Linked DNA regions of Diceros bicornis minor. The protein of the gene in region 2 interacts with the protein of the main gene of each other region in a biochemical or structural test. Links are inferred from orthologs where the notes say so. Each region holds a gene or a part of one and is shown on either strand. Other genes may lie near its edges.

What was found. The genes of interacting proteins can lie anywhere in the genome.
Region 1: the proteins of CRHR1 (region 2) and MAGI2 form a complex in vitro, tested with the Homo sapiens proteins (2 studies listed by BioGRID and IntAct, with this or other methods). The link is inferred for Diceros bicornis minor from reciprocal best matches to the Homo sapiens genes CRHR1 and MAGI2.

Annotation. Positions count from the first base shown.
Region 1 is NC_080742.1:16,782,608-16,786,355, reverse strand, and holds the start of MAGI2 (membrane-associated guanylate kinase, WW and PDZ domain-containing protein 2), read left to right. Parts: upstream 1-1,163; 5' UTR 1,164-1,195; coding exon 1,196-1,253; intron 1,254-3,748. UniProt on the Homo sapiens protein: Seems to act as a scaffold molecule at synaptic junctions by assembling neurotransmitter receptors and cell adhesion proteins. Plays a role in nerve growth factor (NGF)-induced recruitment of RAPGEF2 to late endosomes and neurite outgrowth.
Region 2 is NC_080757.1:44,380,545-44,384,292, reverse strand, and holds the start of CRHR1 (corticotropin-releasing factor receptor 1), read right to left. Parts: upstream 2,737-3,748; 5' UTR 2,552-2,736; coding exon 2,519-2,551; intron 1-2,518.

The DNA of each region.
Region 1 (3,748 bases), on a different chromosome or scaffold from region 2:
TATTGTATTCTTCATTTCTGATTGGTTCTTTTTTATATCTTCCATTTTTTTGTTGACATTCTCACTGAGTTCATCTATTCTTCTCCCCACATCAGTGAGCATCCTTAACACTCTTTGTTTGAACTCTCTGTCGGGTAGGTTGCTCATTTCTGTTTCACTTAGTTCCTTTTCTGGGGTTTTGTCCTGTTCCCTTACTTGGAATGTATTCTTTTGCCTCCTCATTTTGCCTCTTTCCCTGTGCTTGTGTCTACGTATTAGGTAGGCCAGCTACGTCTCCTGCTCTTGGATAGGTGACCTTATGTAAGTGATGCCTTAGGAGGCCTCCAGTGTCCTTCCCTCAGTTCTCAATGTTCCAGCGTTGATCCCTATGTGGGCTACATTTGGCCTTCTGTTGTGGCCTGTTTGCTCTCCCTGTAGGTGCCCAGGGAGGCCGAGTTAATGCTCCTGGCCAGCTGTTGTAATGCTCAGCTGCTTGTAGTTGTTGTGGGCCCTTCAGTGTCTTTACCAGGTGTGGGGAGCCCAAGCACAGTTGGCTGCAAGTTCTAATACCACATTTGTGTTGCAGTATTTCTTTTAAGTGAGTAGGCCCCCAGCGTGGCAGGTTGTTAGGCTCAGGGCCTTACAATTGCTGTAAGCCTCTAGCCTATTAGGTCTCTTGTCAGCTCTCTGAGGATTGCAGCTGGGTGGGGCTGGCCTCAGGCACAGGAGCACCCAATTGTTTCAGGCTTTGGAAGGTGGGGCAAACCCCCTATGTGGGTCTTTGAGCAGCACAAGTCTTCTGCAGCTGACAAGCCCTGCTGCCCACAGGTCCATACACACAGTCAACACATTCCTGCCCCGTGTGCGCGCCCCGACCTCCCCAAGCGGACCCAGTCTCTCCACGGCGGGAGCCCCACACACTCCGCCACCGCCCCACACTCTCCACCCGCTCCTTGTGCATGCCCTGCCCCGCTAAAGTCAGCTCAGTTGCCAGGCTGCAGAGAATCCAGTCACCAATCTATGCAGGCCCACAAGTTGCTTGAGGGCTTGTTGTTGGGTGGGGCCAGTCTGTAGGGTGGCTGCCCACCCTGGCTGAGCTGGATTAAATCGGTGGTCTAGCGGGTGGGGCAGACCCTGAGCTAGCAGGCCCCAGGGAGAACTCCAATGGCGTCTGTGTCAGCACGCCCACACTAGGGCACAACAATGGCTGCCGCCAATGTCCCAATCCCTGGAGAGGTCTCACCCCTCACCGAGATGCACTCAGGGCCTCTCAGGTGAGTCTCGTTTCACCGCAGCACTGTGCACCTTTCTTTCTGGTGATTTTAGGATGCTTTCTGAAACGGGTGACTTTGCGCGTGGGCCCTTTAAGAGCCAGTTTTAGTTTCTTTGTGAACCGGCTTTTCTGGGGGTACTCCCCAATGTTTTAGTAGCAGGCAAGTCAGATATTAAGCCACTCATCTCGATTGTGCTGGGTCCACGAAATCTCCACAGCGGGGGCGCTCCCCGACTCGGGGCCCCGCTCCTCCAGGGAGGGTGCGTACCTGTGAAGCTGGCGGCTTGTGAAGACGGCGTTTTTTCTCTCCAGAAGGGAGTTTCTGCCTCTTCTACCTCAGTTAGGATTGTCCGTTGTTGCAGGAGTTCCTCTTATCCAGTTTTCAGTTCTGTCTCAGGGGTAATTTTCCCACGAGTAGTTGTAAATTGGCTGTGTCCGCCGGAGGAGGTGAGTTCAGAGGCTGCCTACACCGCCATCTTGACTTCCTTCCATATGTTAAAATGGCATTTTATCTCAGTGGGAGAAGCATGAGGCCTTAAAATATTTTGTTGGAACAAATGAATAATCCTTTTTTTTAATGTTTAATTTTATTTATTTTTTCTTTTTTTGGGTAACATTGGTTTATAACATTATATAAATTTCAGGTGTACATCATTATATTTCATTTCTGTGTAGCTATGTCATGTTCACCACCCAAAGACTAATTACCATCCATCACCATACACCTGTGCCCTTTTGCCCTCCCCCCCCTTCCCCTTCCCCTCTGGTAACCACCAATCTAATCTTTGTATCTATGTGTTTGTTTGTTGTTGTTGTTATTGCTGTTTTTATCTTCTATTTATGAGTGAAATCATAAGGTATTTGACTTTCTCCGTCTGACTTATTTCACTTAGCATAATATTCTCAAGGTCCATCCATGTTGTCACAAATGGCAACTTGAAAAATTAAGACTACAGCTACCATATGATCCAGCTGTTCCACTTCTGGGTATTTATCCAAAGAACATGAAAACACTAATTTGAAAAGGTATTTGCACCCCTATATGTTCATTGAGTAACCATTTTTTAAAAATGAAATTAAAGTAGATCCCTATCTACTTTCTTACTCCACACCAAAATAAATTTTTGATGAATTAAAGATTTTACTGGAAAAAAATTAAAAAACACGAAGAACTAGAAAAAAAATACCTATGACTATAATATTGCAGTGGAAATGCCTCTCTTAAATTAACATAAACAGTCCAAAGGAAACTAGCTACCGATTTGACTACACAGAAGAGTAAACTTACAAATAACATGGTAGACAAAATTTAAAGTGAAACCATAATCAGGAGAAAATATTTAAGTGTATTTTTAATAGATAAGGCACTATTATGAATCAATATTAATTTTTAAAAAGCAGAACATGAACAAAGAGGTAAACAAGTTAAAAAAATACAAATGACTAATAAACATATATTTGCTTAACTGAACTCACAATAAATAATAATTGAATGAAAACAATGACATAACATTTTTGCACATTACATTGGCCAAAACATATGTTATCTCTAGTTTTGTCTGCTTCTCGTCTGTCTGTCTGTCTGTCTGTCACAGACATCTCAGTATTGTGACAGTGAAGTAGAACAGAAACTCTCTTACACTCTTGGCCTAAGTTTCATTAGTTTGCAGTATCTCTATAGGGCAGTTTGCTTATCCTTATCAAAAGACTTAGGATTTTGCCTTATCTTTGACCACACAATCCTACTTCTATGATTTATCCTAAGATAATTATCATAGAGGAGCATATATAAACCTAAAAAGAGTTTTTTTAATTAGTAGCAACTTTAATTTGTAACAAATGCGTTCAATAAATTGTGGTACAAACATACAATGGAATAATACACAACCGTTCAAAATGATGTTTCAAAGAAGGATCTATTACAAAAGAGAAAGAAGCAGTTTATAAAACCGCATATACAGTATAATATTCATGTAAAAAATGTTTACACATGTATGTGAAAGAGAAAAGTCTGGATGGACGTGTGCACAATTATTTATAGTGGTTAATTCATGATCTTTCTTTTTAAATTTTTTCTTAACCATATTTTCTAAATTTTCTAATTTTGGTATGTATTGTTTTTTGAAAGGGGATTTAAAAAGTTATTGAAAACATTGAATTTCAGTGGAATTTGATATTATTTTCTCTAAAGATAAATATATATCACTATTGGTGAGTCAAAGATCTCTAAGAATGCCCTTTGGCAGTTTTTTTTCATTTTCTCATTTTTTATCCTAGAACTTTATATCATACTCAATTTTTCTATTTTTTTGGATAACATATAAAAGCATTTTATTTTGCTCTCATCCTAAAATTGAACTTAATATACTATCTGACACCTAGATTTTTAAAACCATTTTTCACAAAATGGCACTAGTTTTACCTTTTAAACAGCAGAAATTGCTAAAGGGAAAACTTGCATTTAAATGTATTTACTGTTCAAATTTTTATTTGTCT
Region 2 (3,748 bases):
CATACACATTTCTCTCACTCACACACACACATTTCTCTCACACACATCATCTCTCCCTCATTCACACACACAACCACTGTCATGCACACTCATACACATTTCTCTCACACACATTTCTCTCACACACATCATCTCTCCCTCATTCACACACACAGCCACTCTCTCATGCATACTCATACACATTTCTCTCACTCACACACTCACACACATCAACTCTCCCTCATTCACACACACAACCACTTTCTCATGCACACTCACACGCATTTCTCTCACTCGTGCACACACACACTCACACACTCTCCCCCACACACTCTCCTCCAGATCATAATCAGCACAGTGCGAGGCCCACAATAGGGCCCCCTTTCCCAACCCTGGCTGACTTGGTGGGGAGAGAGCTGGATTTTGGATTAACTCTCCTAGATTCATACTTTCATACTGAAAAAACTACCTGAGCTCTTGTCTGGCAGAGGTCTAGGATGAGATTTAAGTGGCTTAGAATATTTTCTGGTAAAAGCTACCAAAACAAAGCCCTAGAGCCACAGTGCCTGGGTTTGAATTCTGGCTCCACCACTCACTGGCTGTGTGATCTTAAACAAGTTACTTAGCCTCTCTGTGCCTCAGTAATAATTCCTACTTCCCAGGGCTGTTATGAGGACTAAATGACTTAATATTTGCAAAGAAGGTAGAACAATGCCCAGCAAGTTGTACATGCTACATAAATAAAATAAAAAGTAATTATTTAACTGAAATCAGTATTCACTGCCCATTCACTCACTGCCTCTCATTCATTCGGTTTTTGTTGAACACCTACTGAGTTCATTAGGCCAGACATGAAGGGCACACGCCTCACTATCTAGTAGGAAACACACACACAACAACAGTAAAAACAGTTTCTTTTCTTTTAGGAAAACGTGATAATTCTAAGCAGAGATTTGCACATGATTCTAAGAAAGGCCAGGGAAAGAACATTTACCTATTACCACGTAAACTCAAAAAAATCACCAAAAACCTACAGTTAAATCCTTTGAATCCATTTAAAAGAATGAATTCGGTCGAACTGATTTGTGTATTTAGATTTAGGTTCTGTACACACAAGCATTTTGGAAAATATTCCCATTCAATGCCATCTACTCAACCTCTCTGGATGTTTTTCTTCCTCCCTCCCTCCCGGATCTCCTTGATCACTCAGAAAATAATCTCCCAGCTCGCCCCCAGGCCTCAGTTAAGGGGTGGGAGAGGGGGTATGGTTCAATCAGACCAGCCCTCAGTCACTTTTAAAAACAGCTTATAAATATTTGGGAGCGGGAGGGAGAGGATGGAGAAAAACCCAGTAACTAGGAACGTCTCTACTGATGAACTGGCAGCGGTTGCATTTTAAAATCTTGATGGTTTAACTCAAACCACTTTGTGAGCTGGTACACGTTTAATGACTGATGGAAAAATGAAATTCAGTCAATCCGCACCCCTCCCCCAAATCCATTCAATCCTTTTGGACGAAACCGCTTTTAAATGCACTGAACCCAGTCAAGCTGGTGTCTGTGTTTGTAACTCAGGCCGTCCACACCGACCCTGCGGAGTCCGGATCCTCCGGCGTGAGCCGCGCGGGGCTCCCCGGCGGCGGCGCCCAGGCCCCCGCACCTCTCCCTCCGGCTGCTGCTTACGTGCCTACACCCAGCAACCGGGGAAGCGCTCGGCACTGGGAAGTGGCTGGCGGCTATCACTAGCGGCGGGCCTGCTGTCGATCCCCAGCCCTTCCCTGGCGCACGCCGCCCGCGGACAGCCCCCCGACGCCCCCGAACTTCAGCCGCAGACGCTGCACGTGCGGTCTGGCGACTTTCCTAAACTCCAGGCGCCGGGATCGCGTCGCCAGACCCGGGGCAGGAGCCGCCGGCGCAGCGCGGGGACCCGCGAGTGCAAAGGCTGGGAGGGGAGCGCTGCGCTCCCGCCGGCCGGCCTCGGCGGAGGAACCGCAACCGCCGCCGATGCACTCTCCTCCCCGGAGACTGCGATATTGATCCAGAGTTCCGAGGCGCGGGGGACATTTATCTCCACGGATTTGAAGCTTTCAGCGGAGGAGAAGGGATAGGAAGGAGCTCCCAGGAGCAGGGCGGGGGCGTGTGGAGTGGGGGAGCTGATGAGAGGGTGCTGGGGCGGGTGAGGAACCCATCTCCAGGGCCTCCTGGCCGGGTCTGCATGGGAGGGGTGGCAGGGAGAACCAAGCGTCGACTCCCAAAGCCTAAAGCGATTCTCGGCACAGAGCTGGTTACCCGGGTGGGCGGACCCCCTCCTCCGCCAACATCCCGGCCGCTTCGCCACAACGATTTCTTTTTTCACCTGAGTTCTCTCCCCACCCACCCAGCACCAGCTCCAAAGGTCCAGGGAGAGGGAGTTGGGCTGCCCCTCAAACCCCGGCCGCCCCCGACCTGTGCGCAGCTCTTCCCACTGACCCCCCATCACAGCCACAGCCCACCCGTGTCCCGCGCCGGCCCGGGGCTGGGGGCGCCCGCGCTTCTCTTACCTTGACGAGCCGGAGCTGCGGGCGCCGTCCCATCCTCGGGCTCGCTCGGTCACCGTCCTGGACGCCTGGGTCTCTCGGACATCCCAGAGGGGCCAGCCGCGGGGGCGGGCTCGGGCGGGGCGGGGATGGGGGGCGGCCTGGCTCCTCTGTCGCTGCCCTGCGCCGAGGCGCCCGGCTCCGCGCTCCCCGGCCCGCAGCCCGGCCCGGCCCGGCGGGCTCTCGCTCTCCCCTTCCCGAGGAAGTCCGGCCGCCGTTTCCTGACTCAGCCCGGCCCGCAGCCGCCTCTCGCCCGCCGGGAGCCCGCCTCGCCCCCGCCGCCTCCCCCTCGGTCCGCGCCGCTCTTCGCCTCGGCTCCCCGCCCCCTCGCCTCGGCGTCCCCTCCCCTCTCTCCCTCTCCCCTCCCTTCCCCTTCGGTCCCTCCTCCGCGCCTCGCCCCTCTGCTGCCTCCGCCACCCCGCCTCCCCGTCCCCTCCCCTTCCCCGGGCCAGCTCCTCGCGCCCTAGCCGCGCTGACCCCCTTTCCCTGCGCCCCGGTTTGCGGCAGTCGGCGGGGCGCACTGGCGGCAGTGGCGGCAGCCGCAGCCCAGGGAGAAACCGGGGATGGGGTTGGGGGGTGGGGGGAGACGCGCGGGAGAGGAGGCAGCCTCTCAGCTCCTGCCGGCTTGAAGTCCGGGCCTGGGGAGTCCAAGGAGTCTGAGGGGACTTGGGGGCCTCTGGCAAATCTATGGGAGCGAGGCTATTGGAGACTGGGGAATAGAGCAGCCCCGGCTGAGGGGAGCCTCCGCGGAAACCAGGTGGAGCTGAGGACTGCGTTTGGGCAGTTCCCGCCCTGCATCCCGCGGGGAGAAGGTCCTCACTGCCCCCGCCTCAGCGAGGCCTTTGGCGCTGACACCCCAGGTGCGCGCAGGGACACGAAAGCTCTGCGGAAGAAACCTCATTCATTCATTCATTTCATTCATTCGTTCTTTCATCCATTCATTCATTCTACAAACTAAGCGCCTGCCCAGTTTGGTCCCAGCAAGGGGCTGAACCTGGGAACCCCAAGATGAAGGGGAGACGGCGGTGCCCTGCAGGACTAGCGGACGTCTGAACGCTGCGGCGGGGAAAGCGGAGCGCATTGCGCTGCGGCGGGGGGAAAGCAGCTAGGAATCCAGCGGGCAGAGTGTAGAGGAGGCCACAGCGCCCCCTCTCGGCCGAGCCCTCAGGGTAGGGATCAGCACCCGCGTCCCGG